3 linked regions of the Caenorhabditis elegans genome follow. The protein of the gene in region 3 purifies or fractionates together with the protein of the main gene of each other region. This does not show direct contact. Each region holds a gene or a part of one and is shown on either strand. Other genes may lie near its edges.

Evidence for each region. The genes of interacting proteins can lie anywhere in the genome.
Region 1: the proteins of szy-2 (region 3) and gsp-2 purify together in Caenorhabditis elegans (affinity purification with western blotting, with the first as the bait; one study listed by BioGRID). This does not show direct contact.
Region 2: the proteins of szy-2 (region 3) and gsp-1 purify together in Caenorhabditis elegans (affinity purification with western blotting, with the first as the bait; one study listed by BioGRID). This does not show direct contact.

What each region holds. Positions count from the first base shown.
Region 1 is NC_003281.10:7,334,646-7,339,293, reverse strand, and holds gsp-2 (Serine/threonine-protein phosphatase PP1-beta), read right to left. Parts: upstream 2,708-4,648; 5' UTR 2,672-2,707; coding exon 2,620-2,671; intron 2,564-2,619; coding exon 2,432-2,563; intron 2,306-2,431; coding exon 2,075-2,305; intron 2,017-2,074; coding exon 1,802-2,016; intron 1,753-1,801; coding exon 1,639-1,752; intron 1,592-1,638; coding exon 1,457-1,591; intron 1,403-1,456; exon of another isoform or gene 1,292-1,402; intron 1,228-1,291; coding exon 1,105-1,227; 3' UTR 529-1,104; downstream 1-528. Other genes in the region: kap-1 (Kinesin-associated protein), read right to left, coding at 87-159, 224-293; F56C9.10 (BCAS3 WD40 domain-containing protein), read left to right, coding at 4,177-4,296. UniProt on the Caenorhabditis elegans protein: Serine/threonine-protein phosphatase essential for chromosomal dynamics during meiosis and mitosis. During meiosis, promotes chromosomal cohesion and germline immortality via a small RNA-mediated genome silencing pathway.
Region 2 is NC_003283.11:10,680,488-10,687,033, forward strand, and holds gsp-1 (Serine/threonine-protein phosphatase PP1-alpha), read left to right. Parts: upstream 1-1,934; 5' UTR 1,935-2,041; coding exon 2,042-2,096; intron 2,097-2,426; coding exon 2,427-2,558; intron 2,559-2,817; coding exon 2,818-3,048; intron 3,049-3,758; coding exon 3,759-4,222; intron 4,223-5,254; coding exon 5,255-5,362; 3' UTR 5,363-6,018; downstream 6,019-6,546. UniProt on the Caenorhabditis elegans protein: Serine/threonine-protein phosphatase which antagonizes the function of air-2 in the regulation of chromosome cohesion. Dephosphorylates histone H3 at 'Ser-10'. Dephosphorylates translation initiation factor eIF2alpha.
Region 3 is NC_003281.10:5,368,421-5,373,197, reverse strand, and holds szy-2 (Protein phosphatase inhibitor 2), read left to right. Parts: upstream 1-1,921; 5' UTR 1,922-1,926; coding exon 1,927-2,148; intron 2,149-2,836; coding exon 2,837-2,989; intron 2,990-3,041; coding exon 3,042-3,108; intron 3,109-3,875; coding exon 3,876-4,015; 3' UTR 4,016-4,232; downstream 4,233-4,777.

The sequences.
Region 1 (4,648 bases), 2.0 Mb from region 3:
ACGGTCTTAAAAATATTTTATTTTATTTTTCTTGTTAAGCAGATTTGCATTCCAGTTTAATTTTATATTTTATATCAGATTCTTACATTTTTTGATGGCCAAGAGACTCAACGTTCGCTGAAGAAGCTCGCTTTTTTATTGAAATTCCTGCTGAAGAACCTGAATCAAACTTCCAAATAATCTTCGTAACACATTCAATTGAAAATAAAAATATAAAACTTACTAGGAGATTGTTCAAATCGTACAATAATTGCCTGATCTGACGGGTGTGCATCTATTGAAACTTGATTCATTGAGCTAAACACGGAAAATCAATCGAAAAAACTCAAAAAATATTTCTCTTCATTCTGATTACCTATTATAGCTTACTGAAGAGCCGGGGCGGAGCATTTCTGAATAACTGACAAACGACAGAAATCGATGAGACGGCTCGAGGAGCACTAGTCGTGGGGGATGTCTGTTCGTCTCGCACGCTCTCCTTGGAGACGTTGCACTCGTTGTAATAAGAAATATTGCTTACACGCTTGTACCAGTGTTCTATTTTATTTGTTCGGAAAACTTTAATGAATTAAATCGACAAATGGGGGTTTTAACAATATAAAATTGAGAAACGAAGAGTACGGGATGGACGAATGAATGGAGGAAGGAAAGGAGTGGAGATTGATTGACATCATAAACATTTGTTTTAAATATTTAGACCATTTAGAGAAGTAAAATTTGATACTGTTTTAAGAGATAAGTTTAGCAAAAAAAATTAAAATTTGGAATTTAAAAACGAATAAAATGGGGATTGTTTTGATGAAAAATTGAGCCAGCAATTGGTGAGGAGTCATTAGCTCTAAATGGTCCACAGAGATAAAGAGGAAGGGATGTTGACAACGAAAGCTTGAATTGAGAGGAGATTCGCCGGGACCACAGCATCTTCTCGTGCCAGCCTAGATCATAATGAATCGAATTTAAACTTTTTCGAAACTATGTTTAAAATCAAAATTAATGTACACAACTTTTTGAAGCCGATTTACGAGAGATGGCCGAGGCCTCTTGGGGCGTGAACAACAAAGAAAAGGTTAGGTATTTACAGATGATAGATAAATCGACTGATGATTACTTCTTGGCACCCTTCTTTGGTTGCGCAGCCGGTGCGTTTCGTGGTGGGGTGACTGGTCTATTTGAACCAACTCCTCCAGCACCATATGGATATTTCTTCTTGTCTGCTGGTTTCAAGATCTGAAAAAAATATTCCGAATTGTTTTATTTTAATGTTTGATAGGTAGTTTTAGCGTTTAATAAATCACCTCAGACAAATGCCTCAATTTCACCCCGCTTAGCGGCAATTTCTTCGAAGAACTCGAATAGATAGCCAAAATAGACTCGTCTGATTTAACCATTGCATCATTGGTGAATGCATACGCATTATCAGTATTTAAAATTATATAGATGGTACCGCTATGTTTACCTGGAAAGAGCACATCAGTGTTTCATCGACAGTCATCATCGATCCCGCGTTATCAAACTCTCCACAATAATTAGGAGCGCTGAACAATGTAACCAACTGCCGCTTAGCGAAGAATTCGTAACCGTCTTCCACAACCTGAAAATTTCTCGGTTCGCAACTTTGCAGAAAATCTTAAGTAATACCTGGTGAGCTCTGCAAATCAAATCCAAATCGTGCTTGTGCAGGAATTTGGCAACAACTTCTGGTCCGAAAGTGAAAGAGACGCCTCGGTCGTTTTCTCCCCAGCCAGTGACATCCTGAAAATAAATGGTAATCATTCATTGAATTTTATGTTCACAAACGAACTTTATCAGGATCTGACCACAACAGATCGCACAACAATCCTTGATCTGGTACGTCTGTCGGCCTCATGATACGACGAATTTGCTCCATAGACTGAAGATCTGGAGAAAGTCCTCCGTGACAGCAGAAGATCTTTTCGTCGATGATGGCGGCAACTGGCAGGCAGTTAAAGCAATCGGTGAACGTCTTCCACAGTTTGATGTTGTATCGCCGCTTGCCTAAAAACATGAGATTTGAATAAATCTGTACTAAGATAATCTCAGATCAAACTCTTACACTCGTCATAGAAGCCATAAATTCTGTTGATCGAGGCACACTCGTGGTTTCCTCGGAGCAGGAAGAAATTTTCCGGGTACTTGATTTTATATGCAAGTAGGAGACAGATAGTTTCCAACGATTGTTTCCCTCGGTCCACATAATCGCCGAGGAACAAGTAGTTCGACTCTGGGGGGAATCCACCATACTCGAACAGTCTCAAAAGATCGTAGTATTGTCCGTGCACGTCACCTGAAAAATATATTTTCTCAGAATATATATTATCAAAAATAAAAACGGCAATTTCCTGTGGAAGGAAATACTAATAAGTAAAATGACTCATAGCAGGAAACGTCAACTTTTTTCGATAGAACTTACCGCAAATTTTCAACGGAGCTTCCAACTCGAGAAGAATAGGTTGGCTCAGAAAAATTTCACGAGACTTCTGGCACAACCCCTTGATCTCGCTCTCTGTGAGTTGAACATTTTTCCCTGGTTTGGATCCTCTGACTGAAGCGGAAATCATTTTAAGATTAATTTCAATAAACACTATGACAAACACATACCTTCCAATAATCTGGAGATGATATTGTCCAGATTAAGCTTTTCTACGTCCATTTGTTGCGAGAAATCGCTCAAACAACCCAATTAGATCTGCAATACGAATAGAATTACCTCTTTGAGATAATGTCAATCAACAAACGTGAAAATACGGAAAATTTAGAAAGAAAGTTTGATAATTACGTCTTTAAATCGCGTGATTACTCGAAAAGTTGATAAAAACAGCAGCAAACATGTCAAAAATCGAAAGATATTTGGAGGCGACAGGGTCAAAACGAATGAAAAGAGTGGCGGGTCTCGCCGCGAAAATGCCGCATTCAGCAGGGTACGGTGGCCGGTGGAGCGCTTTTACATGTTCTCATTTTTTCTGAATTTATCCGCTAATTTAATGATTTTGAATCTGTTTTTCTACATTTTTTCTTCTTGTTAAAATTAAAAAAAAGGGGACGTTCAAATTTTCAGAACTTCATTAGTATTGAATTGAAAAAGAGCGCGCGAAAAGGATTAACTTGGTTAGAGGGCTTTGAAAGTTGAATTTTACATTGAGGAAAATATTTCTACCATTATTTAGAAGATAAAGCTTAAAGTTTCTCTTTTCCCTGAAATTTTCACTATTTGTCAAAAACGGGGCACATATAATCGAATGATGCGCCAATTCGTCACTTTGTTTTCGACCAAGATGGCAGAGAAATTGGTTGGTGGTGAGAGATTGAAATGTGTAAATATAACAAATACACTGTTCTTCGTTCACGATTTGTCAGCAATTATGATCAGATGCAAAAACATGGGGAACAAGATGCATTAAATCTTATTAAGTGAAAGTTTAATAGATGAAAACGTAGTTATAAGAAGTTTATTTAGCATATTTTGATAAAACTTTTACTTATGAATCATTTTGAAATATGAGATTATTATAGTACTCAAAAGTTATATATTATTTAGCTAGAAATATATGAACACTTTGGTACTTCTGCATCCATGAATTCGTTCAGAAAATATATTGAAGCATTAGTTAGAAAATGAGCAGTGAGCATTTAAAAAAATCGATTGATGTCTAGTCAAGTTCAATAAGAAATAAGAAAAAAGAAAAATAGTTGGAGTGAGAAAAATCAGCAAAAAAGATGCGAGAAGTGTGGTGCTCATGGAAGCCTTCTTCTCCATCCTCCTCACAACTCCCTCCATTTCTCTGCGTCGCCTGTTCCCTCTAGTCCCTCGTGACCAACTGCAGTTTCTGTCGTTTTCTCCCCATGTCATGTCTAGCACACGTGAGAAGTGAAAAGAGAGAAAGAGAAGGGCATGATTTCGATTCTTCTGCCGCTTTTCTGTCACTGGTAACAATGCACCTTTGTCGGATCAGACACTCATAGATCGTTGATCTACCTGAAAGTTTGAGAAAAACAAAATCTCTGTTGTTTTATCTTCTCACATCTTCCTATTGATTATTTTTTCTCTTTTTTTTGTTGTCCTCTCTTCTCATTCGTTCTATCCTATCTGTTCCTGTTTGTGTTCTGTTCTTCACCACATTTTCTGAACAAATCGATAATCTGCACAGTTCGAAGAAGATGCCGCCAAACGCGAACTCTGTTGGGGGCCCGAAAAAGAAGAACAAGAAGAATCATCAACGCCCTCAACAGCAACATCAACAAACACAGCCACAACCGCTACCAGAAGAGGAACAGCCGGTAAAGTGTTACTTCATAATGATTTTTCAAAACTAAAAGTTAAAAAAATCGAATTTCAAAAAATCTCCTTTAAAAAACCGTTTAACGGATTTTTCCGTTTTCTAAAGCGCTGCAAACATCGAAACTATGCAATTATTTTCAAAGATAGATAAAATCTTAATAGATTCGGAACGCTAACGAATGTTTTTCTTATAGTACTACCCAGACGCGAAAATTCGTGCCAAAAAACGGTACTGGGTCTGGACACGACAAGTTTTTGTTGAATGTGAGCCTTTAAATAGTACTGTAATTCCAAACTTTCGATGTGTGGAGTTTACATAAATTTTTTATAGTTTTTCTTACAAATTCGATA
Region 2 (6,546 bases), on a different chromosome or scaffold from region 3:
ATAATTTTTGTCCTATTGCATTTTTTGAATGTTTTTCATCGCTTTTTTCGTTTATGAAACTGTTTATGTTACGAAATCAAGTAGTTTTATTCTTTTTTAAATAATTTTCGTTTGATATAACTATTTTCCGTAATGTCATAGAGGCTTAAGGTGATTTGAATGACTTCTTGGGGTATTTATTCCAGAATTTATTTATTTCGATTGAATAGAAAAGAAGTTGGTTTAAAATATGAATAACATGTGTTATCATTTAGTTTATATTGTTAACATTATATTAGTCATCGAAAAGTTTTACACCGCGCAATGAAAAGAAAAATAATTACGAAATTTTATGGCTCGTAAATAGTTCTTTTTGTAACATTTTGTTGGCAGAAACATACAATTTGTCATAATTTTATGCTTAATAATAAAAAATTGTTTATTAAGTGTTGTTTGAAAAAAGTCTGGAATGTCGTATATCTTTACCGCACAGGAAGTGTTTGCCTTTCTCAATCTTTTCTTTCTCGTCGTCGTTTCCTCTTTTCGAAACGTTCTGCGTGCAAATCAAATACTTGTACATCTCGTTTTGCCCATTTGTTCTAGAGAAGAGAAAGAAAGAGCACCTCAAGCTTCTCTAGCCGTTTTTTATTGTTGTTTTTTCTCACAAGAATAAGCGTTACCCTTTTCAAAAGATAACAGACTATGCGCAAAGTGTGATAAGAAAACCTTCTCGGAAGTTGTCGCCGTTTTTGATTCCATGACGTCTTACACGATGTCAGTAGTGTCGAACCAATATCGCACGTGCCACCGGAGGTAGTGCAATAACATTGCGAATTGTTTCGGCGAAAGAATGGAAACGACGGTGGCGAGTTATCGATCAATACTGCGGGCAGTGGCCGGTGGATCGGCGCGCGTTCGTCTCTCGCTCCACTCGTACACTCACACATAGGGACAGGCACATACACATGCGTCTCAGTCCGTCGTCACTTTTCGCTCCTCTTTTTATACGCGGCATTTCATCCCGATCTCCTCATTTTCCTCCACTATTGATGAACCTACTTTGCTTGACTACAGCCACACATGTTTCTCTTTGAAAGCTTCTGTTTTCTCTCTATCATATCTTCACCATTTCCTTTTTCTAGTGCTGTAAAGTTATCCGCCTGCTGTGACGACGGTGTCGTGTTTATGACATGTTCCTCCTCGGGGTCGTTGATAACGGCAAAGAGAAGGAACGGGCGTCGTCTCGTTACCGTTTTCCGATAAAACTATATAGGTGTATAACTTGAAATTGGCCAGAAAAAAAAAGAGTATTAGAGTAGCTTCGATTTGCCTCAAGGTGCATAAAGCGGTGATTCACGTTTCGAATTTGAGAGACGCAGGTGTTTAAGTGAATATGGTCTCAGTTTGCTCCCCAATTCTTTTTGTTGTCTTTTGCTACCACAGGACGAAGGAATTTCTCTTAGTACACCAACAAACTTTTTTCTTCAAGGCATCAGTTGCTCGTTTTCTATTTTCAATGTTTAGAAACAGTATAGCACAAATTTCACATAATTCAGTTTTTTTGTTTGTTTTCACGACACGCGTTTGTTGCCTTTTCAAATTCAAAATTTGCATATCGATTGTTAAAAACCATGTGTTCTTTCTTTCTCAAACATTTTAATATTGTGTCCATCACGTCATCGAGTTTCCGATTGAAACAAATCACTTTAAGGTTTTTATTCTTCAAAAATATAATCCAATCAGGAAATTTGAAAACTATATTATATTCGCATTACAATTTCTTGATAAAATTCTCATTTTTGCATTTTTCCTCTTGGAATTGTAATGATACGCATCACATCCTACTGCTGTTGTTTTTTGATGCTTTTTAAGCTTAGTCTTATCAATTTTCTCACGTTTTCCTTGAAGTTTTTTTTAAATTCTCACGCCAACGTTACTAATTTTTTATCTTTCAGCCACAACCAATATCAGTTGTCGGCCAAAAACATTGCAAGAACATACATCACTTGCCATCCATCAAAAGTGACCAACAGAAGCCGCGGAGATTGCAGCTGCAAAAACAATGTCGAACGATGGAGATTTAAACATTGACAATCTGATCACCAGACTTCTTGAAGGTGGGTTTTAAAGTTAATAGAGAAATTGATCTAATATCGACATTCGAACTAAACCAGCTGTATAGTTGTTCAGAAATTTTATTGAATTTTATTTGTTTGAAATTCCGACTAGAAATTCCAAATATTCTGGTTTTGAGGAATTTTGTTTAATATAGCAATTATCATTATTTATTATGGTTGGCAACTATTTATTTCAATAATTTCTGTCATTTTTCCACTTTCCGATTTTTACGGTCGTAAAAAATTTAATTAATATTTAAAATTTTACTAATTCTCTTTAAAGCTTATTTTAAGTGACTAATTTGATTTTTCAATAAAATTATTTTTCAGTTCGCGGATGTCGTCCAGGAAAGCCAGTTACCATGTCGGAGGCGGAGATCCGTGCTCTTTGTCATAAATCTCGTGAGATCTTCCTATCACAGCCAATTCTTCTGGAACTCGAAGCACCTCTCAAGATTTGTGGTGAGTTTTTTTATTATTCAAAAACCGTTTTTGTGTCTGCAATGTAAGAGACGACTAGAGAATATGGTCAATAGTCTTCGATTATTTATAAATTCTGTCTAAAAATTCAAAGATAGTTCAATTATTTAGTAAAAACATCACTGAACGTATGTGATTATTGGAAAAAAAGTCCGAATGTCATTGAAAAGTTTCGCAGCATACAATTTAGAATGTTAATTTCTCTAAAAGTTCAATATGAATGAGAAATATTTAATTTTAGGAGACATACATGGACAATATAACGACTTGCTCCGTTTATTCGAATACGGAGGATTCCCACCAGAGGCCAATTACTTGTTCCTCGGAGATTATGTCGATCGTGGAAAGCAGAGCTTGGAAACAATTTGCTTGTTGCTCGCATACAAAGTCAAATATCCAGAAAACTTTTTCCTTCTTCGTGGAAACCACGAATGTGCTTCAATTAACCGTATTTATGGATTCTACGATGAATGTAAGGTTTTTTTTTGCTTTAAAGAAAATTCGAAATATTAATTGAGATATTACGTGTCCATGATTTGATGAAAACTGCGGAGACGCCTGCGTCTCTCTTCTCCACACGCTCTCTCGCCATAGGCGTTTTGCATAGGCGTTAGATAGCATGCGAGAAAAAGAGACGCAGGTGCTTTTTGCGCTTAAGATATGGCGATTTTTCTCACCCGCACATGGATACGTAATAACAAATTATTCCAAAACAAAATATTCGCTTTTTTTTAAATTTTCATACGCCCGTTCACATCAAGTAGAAACTTTCTCCGGATGACAAAAAGATTCTTAATAACCATGCATCGGTTGTGTATATTTTAATTTATATTTCAACGAAAAATTCCATTAAATTCTGGGTTATTAAAATTTGTCCAGTTCAATCAGCAAATTTCGATAGTTAAAAAAGGAAAATTATGTCAATTATTTTTTCAAAATAACAGAATAATTACAATTTTCAATCAATGTAAAAATTTGGAGAACAATAGCTACTGAATTCTTTGAAAAAATCAGTATATTTTGAAGATTTTCTTATTTCTCTTTTTTTCAGATTCTTATACTCAAATTTTCATCAAATATCAAAAAAAAACGACCAGGTCCTCAAATTTTAATTTAATAATTTTTAGAAGTAAAAATTGCTGGAATTGTTATTGAAAAGTCTTTAAACCAAATAATTTTCAGGTAAGAGACGTTTTTCGATCAAATTGTGGAAAACTTTCACCGATTGCTTCAACTGTCTTCCAATTGCTGCACTCATTGATGAGAAGATCTTCTGCTGTCACGGAGGACTCTCCCCAGATCTCCAAAATATGGAACAAATTCGCCGTGTGATGCGACCAACCGATGTTCCTGATACTGGATTGTTGTGCGATTTGCTCTGGTCTGATCCAGACAAGGATGTTACCGGATGGGGAGAAAATGATAGAGGAGTCTCGTTCACATTTGGACCTGATGTCGTTGCAAAGTTTTTGAACAGACATGATTTGGATCTGATATGCAGAGCTCATCAGGTCGTCGAAGATGGATATGAGTTCTTTGCTAAGCGACAACTTGTCACACTATTCTCTGCTCCAAATTATTGTGGAGAATTCGATAACGCTGGTGGAATGATGAGCGTTGATGAGACATTAATGTGCAGTTTCCAGGTAAGAATATTTCTGTTATGTATTCGAAGGCCGAACAAGGAGAGAAGACGAGTAGTTTATTACATTACTAAACTAAGGAATAAATAAGTTAGTTCATAGAGTTCACGTTATACGATCTTCTTAGCCACGTCGTGGGTCAATACACGTTCCAACAATTTCATTCTTTTTCCAAATATTCCAGATCCCCGAAATGGAATAAATTCAAACAAGATGGAAAATCAGAAACCAATTTTCTAAATGTGTTTACAATTGATTTTTAAATTAGGGGTCGGGCATCCTTGGTCAAGAGGAACCGATTTCGAAAAATTGAAACCTCGTGAGATTGAAAATCGAATTTATGTAAAAGTTCCTGCTCTTCAAATTTAATTTTGGCTGGGAACTCATTGAACATTCGCATCACATCAAGAAATAATCTAGCATGAGATGAACCTTTTTAGAGAAAAACGGCACCGGCATATTTACAAATTCGTATTAAAATGATCGAGAAAATTAGAATGCTAGTGGCTGTGTATTTCACGTGAAAAAAACTATCAAATTCTTTAATTTTGAATATATTTCACAAAATCTCGTGAAATTTGTATCAAAAATCAATAATTTTTCGTAAATCTTAGAAATCTCAGGAACCGAAAATGAGCTGTATTAGTATTTCACCTTCCATCTTCTTTCTTTTCCATATCAAAATATGAGAGAAAAAGTACCATCAAACGGTACTTCTTTATTAAAATCCTACATTTCGGAAAAAATTTAAAATGTTTAAATATATAATGTTGATAATTGTTCAGTTAGTGACAATTTGTTCTTTTCCCGAAAAAACAATCTAACTCAAGTAGTTGCATCCCATGTTACGTCAAAACTCTTTTTCTTCCAATATCCTCTTGAACCTATCGGGAAATAATGACCAAACTGAACCATCAGTGATTATTAGATAATTTTATACTCAAAAAGCTTATAGAATTAATTTTGATCGGATAAGACTGAAATTGTTTTTTTTCAAATAAATTAGAAAAATTTGATTCATTATTTATTTTACAGATTCTGAAACCATCGGAGAAAAAAGCGAAATATCAGTATCAAGGAATGAACAGTGGACGACCAGCAGTGGGCGGAGGACGGCCTGGAACGACTGCTGGTAAGAAGTAAAGTGATGAGGAGAAAGAACATTTTTGCCTACATTTTTACTCATTTCTCTCGGATTTTTACTTTTCTGTCCGTTTTTTTTGAATTTCCCTTCTCTTTTATCTCAAACATTTTATTATTTTCTCGCCCTCAATACACCCCACCCCGCACAAAAACGAGTTTTAAATGCTCTTCATTATTATTTTCTTTTCTGATTTTCTATTTTTGTGCAACTGTACTCGATCGAATATAATTTAATTTTTCTGGCGAGTACAGATTGCAAATCTTTCTCTCTCTCCTTCTGTGTTCTCCATTTTTAGCTAAATTTTCTCATATATTTTTTTTCTGATTGCCTCTCTTTTTCCATTTGCTCTTATCCTGTTTTATTCTTAGTTGTGAGCCTAACACACCGGGATCAAAATCCTTCCGATTTAAAGTTGCAGCTTATTTATTCTTACAATGTTAATCACACAAACATTCTGAAAGTACGAGAGCGAATTCGTTCTTATTTTTTAGAATATTGAATTCTGATCCGCCCCAACAACACGCACACTGATAATTTTCTATGGTTTTTATTCGAAAATAGTGAATTTTTCTCGACAGCTCCCCCCGTTCCTTTTTCTCGCCCCCATTTCCTTCTTTCTTTCCTCCAACTGATTCCAATGAATATTTTTTCCAAAAGGTTTCTCTTGCGCAAGAACCAGTCACTCAAATTTTGTGTGTGTGTGTTTGGTCAAAGTATTTATAAAACACATACTGTCTTCAGGCAAAAAAATAATGGAAAAAGTATGAATCACATTGTTTGGAATGAGTACAAGAATAGAAATAAAATGTTCGTTGGATGGAAAAAGAATAAAGAGAAGGAATCCTGCCAAGGGAAACCAATTACTTCTGAAACATTAAATCAAGATCAGGGAAATTTAATATTTCAGAAATAACTGCAACACATAATCCTTTAAACTGGGCAATTATTTTTTAAAAATTCTATTTGGTAGTTTTCAGAATGGATTTCGTCGCCAAAATAATGTTATTTATAAACCATTCGACTCAATAATACGATACCTGGACCCGGCACGACTGTAATATTTTTTAATGATTTCTGTGAAAAGCAGTGTGCGTCTTTCAAGAGTACAGTAGTTTACACTTCTGACTGCTGCACAATGTTTTCAATTTTTCGCTTTATTTTCTTTTGAAAGTTCCTTATTTTC
Region 3 (4,777 bases):
TTTTTGTTCGGTTTTCCGAAAAAAAGAGAGAGAGAAAGAGGACAGGCGGCAAACCAAACAAGTTTACGTACAGTCCTGACTGTGTCAATACTCTTGGCTGGCGTCTCCCCTTGTGATGTCACTCACAAGTCAGTTGACCCTTCCGGAGTGTGTGGGGGATCTCTATCAGATTCTTCTGAGCTTTCTCTCGTTTTGTCAATTTTTTTCAGCTGCCTGCTGGCTTCGACGAAAAATGTTCTTCCCCCTATGGCCTTGCTTCTTTTTTCGCTTGAACGCTCTCTCAGAGAGCCCCACAGGCTGAGGAGAGGCGCCAATTGCATTATTGGCTCTTCGTTGGCTCTAGCCGCCTTAGACGGAGAATAAAATGCGGCCACCCAAGAGTTTTTTGGACTCGTTACTCTTCTTCCAACTTGTTTTCACTCATTCTATTCTTCCATTTGTCAAAAAAACATTTGTGCGTGAAGAATGTTTTCTTTAAGGTGACCTACCACTTTCGAGGCTCTAAATAGTCATATTATTAGTTAGAATATGACTGAAAATACGAAAAATTAGATTAAAAACACTTTGGTAGCCAATATATGGGCGGAGTCTCTTTTTGGAATTTTCTTGCCGTCGTGCCATTTCATTTCAAATTTGATTTTGATGTTTTTGAAATCTCAAACTGAAATTGCTAGTTCTAGGCTGCAATTATCTGAAATTACTCAATATATTTTGCTGAGCTTGAAAGTTTTGATAAATAATTGCTCCCAACCCACCCACTCACTATAATTGTTACTTTATATTTAAAAATTAGTTTAAATATTAAACTTATTGATGTCCTTTCTTGGACTCAATTTTTCTGAAGTGTCAGTTCTTCGCACCCTTATTTCTTTTTTTTTTCTTCAGAAATGTACTAGTACGTGCTTTAGAAATTTATAAAAGTAATCATTTACATAACTTTCAAATATTTTTTTGATGAATAAAATTAATTTTTAAGAACTTTAGTTCAAAAAATCATTAAAATGGTGTAATATTTCGACGAACCAGGCACTAGAAATTATTATTTTCTCTAAGACCTAGACTTACTTTTTTGCAGATTTAGAACATTTTGACCTGATTTTTTAATTTTGACCGAGAGAAAAATATTTTTTTAAAAATATATATGGTAGGGCTTCGATTTCTCTTTTTCATGCCACATTCAACATTTTTCAAATTATTTTTTTCTATTTTCGACATCATCTTTCGGTTTTTAACCAACCGGATAATATATCAAAAGCTGACCAAAAAGATAATTACGTTGTTGATCACCAACTACTGATCACTGAGGGAATATAAAATATATGAAAATACATAATTTGGTGATTCAATCATTCGAAGTTCTGATCATTTAGTGAAAAAAAGGTTTCTTTCGCAAATATTCGAGAGCTCAATGCTAAAAAAAAAGACGAAAAGTATGCAAAGTCATTAATCATGTAGGATCTACTAGCTTCTCTTGACTCTTTTCTCTGCAACAATCACATCTTTGTTCCGCGCAAAAAAGGCGAGTAGCCAGTTTTTTCGTTTCTAATTAATTTCCTTTTAGATTACAGCTCGCATGCTTTTACTTTTTCACCACGCTGTGTCTCTAGCTATTTCAGTCGTGTTTACGGGAATATATATGGAAAAGAATTATTGATGTATTTTAGATTATCCAATAGTTTAAGTGATGAGGAAAAAATAATCTACAAAGATAAATTAGCAAAAAAACATTTTATGTTTGATTTCGAAAATATTTGAAAAAAACATTCTTAAGTTTTTGAGAAACTTTAAAAACTTTTTATGACAAGTACCTCTAAATAGTAATTTGATAACTAACGTTTCAAAACGATTTCTTTTTGCTTTGCTTTTTTTACCTATTCACTTTTTCGAACCTAGTTAAAAAATAAATTCTCCATCTATTTTCAGAAAATGGCATCACCCTCCGCTTCTGCAGACGACGTCAAACTGACAGCCGATGGAAAGATTTGTCTTGATGATCCAGCCGAGTTTCTGAAAAGAAAGCCAAAGAAGAGTATTCTTAAGATGAAACAAGACTCATCGCTTGAGGGCAAAGATGGTCGTGCACATTTTGATGAAATGAATATTCTTGCCACTTATCATCCAACTGACAAGGATTATGGAAGCATGAAGGTTATTTTTTTTAGCATGTGCTTTCTTTTGTGGCTGCAAAAAATATTTCCTTCTTCCTCAAGAGGGACCCTTAAAAAAACAATTTGGATGAAATATGGGAATTTTTTGGGAAAAAAACGTCCTCGAAAAGTTTTTCAACTAAAAAATTGAAACAAAAAAAATGAAATTGGGAAAAATAACTTTGTTTTTTTACATCTAAACAAAATTTCCTTCAGAAAACTACCTTTTTATTAGTTTTTTAAACAAAAAACCGAACTTTTTTCATTGAAAAGGACTTTGAATAATAATGAACAAATATTGTTAAAAAACACCTCAAAACTGAAAATTATCGAAAATATATGATTTAAAAAACGTCTAATTTTTTTTTGTTGAAAATATAGTTAATTTTATTACAGCTTTTTTCCCAAAAAAAAGTTAATTCAAATGCGAATTCACACTAAAAAGTAATTATAGAATAAGCGAAATAAAAAGTTATTAAAAATTCAAGAGTTTTTAGAAAGTTACAATGAAAAATTATGAAAGGATTTTCCGACAGTCAATCATTTTGATTTTTTTTCTAGAATTATTAGCTTTTAACGTATTTTTCCCATGAACGTTTGTTTTAATTATTTGACTTTAAATTGTTTCAACATATTCAGATTGCTATTAAATTTTATTTTGCCATTTTCAAAAACTTTGAATTTTGCAGATTGATGAACCAAAGACCCCATATCATCATTCAGATGGTGAAAGTGAATGTGATGAAGGAGTACTTGGAGTACCAACAACTCGACCACGACGAGTATCACTCGGAAATGCCATTGACCCAGAAAAAGTGGCCGAAGGACTTGCTCATCCGGAGGTTTTAGAGCTCTTTATGTGTTCTCTCATTTATTTTTCATTTATTTTTCCAGAGTGGAAAATCACTTTCTTCCGCTGAAGATTCCGAGGACGAGGCTGATTTGACAGAGGAACAACGTGGTACGGAATTGAAAATTGAAGAAAAATACATTTTAGTTGAAATATTAAAAAAAAGTATATTAAAAATCAAAATTTATAAGAAATTCACAAAAATATTCTAAAAATTGTAAATTAAAAATCCTTTTAAAAACCGATTTTTATTATTTAAAGAAATTGTCTAGTAATTTCGAGCAAAAAATTTTGTGAAATTAAAAAAAAACTTATTTGGACAGCTTTTGTCTTCAAAGATTTTTAAAAAATAGTTATTTCTGATTAAAAAAATTATAAAGGAAAAATTCCAGAAAAATCAGTTTAATGATATAATACAGTTGAAAAATTGGTTTTTCTTAGAAATTTTTTTAAAAATTTTGTCAACAAAAAATTTAGAAAAATTGTTGAATTTTTTCAAAAATCTTATTTTTGAGTTTAAAAATGTTTAATTTGGAAACATAATCGAATTCTTTGAAAAAATCTAGATTTTATAAATATAAAAAGGTCAAATCTCAATATTATCATTTTTCAACATAATTTAAATTTTAAAAAATCGTTTTTTTCTCTAAACTGATCATAAAAATTGGCTCAGTTTTTTTTTAATCTAAAATCTTCCATTTACTAATGATATTATTTTCAAAATTTTTAAAAAATTATTTATTTTAGGAATGTAATCAATTTTGATGGGTTTCCTAGAAAAAAAACTAGATTCACTGAACATTTTGATATTTGTCATTTCAATTTTTTTTAAATCGAAGCGTACAAAATTTCCATAATTTAAAACACGACTCTTACAGCTCACCGTCGCGATTTCGAGAAGAAACGACGTGCTCATTATAACGAGGGAGCTGCTCTGAAGCATCATCCAGAACTCGAAGATGATGAAGAAGAAGCTACTGCTGCTGCTGCTGGTGCCGGTGGAAATATGGAACACTAGCAAATACATTAAATGCCGTGTGCAATCATATATTTTTGTTTTTCCTTTGAATTGCTCTCTTTCTCATTTTTTTCAAAGTTTCCACCAAAAAATCTGAATTCTTGTATAAAATCCTTTTCCCCCGTAAGCGAATTTATTTATTATTTGTTCTCTCAATTTCTCAATTTTCCCTACTATATTTTTCAAGTTTTCGAAATGAATATCGAATGATCCATGAGTTTTCTTACTATTAGATTTTGAAATTTTCAAAAATTGTCTAATTATATTTTGTCAGACGATTCTAATACTGAAAATTTTGAAAACAAAAATGTTTTTTACCCCGCTGCGAAATACTACGATTTGCGCTCTAAAAATACGTTACCCGGTCTCAAAGCGATCGATTTTCTTAAACGCAGAAAAGTGTGCGCCTTTAGTAGTACTGTAGTTTCCAAAAATGTGAAAATATTACACCTAATTTTGAAGAAATAGGAGAAAAGCTAGAAAAAATCGAAGAAAATCCCGCAACAACGAAAAGTTATCAACTACAGTACTCTCTTATGAATTCAGAAAAATCGATCGCTTCGAGATCGCTACATTGTTTTTGAAACAAAAATCGCAGAATATTGCATAATTAATAGTTTTTTTTTTCGAAATTGTTAATTCTATTTCTAATAATATTTGATGTAACACAGTCCAATATTTTCATCATTTTTGAGACACAAAAAGGTCAACATTAATTGTCATCACGGCCGTTCACTACAAATACACGTAGACTACATTATA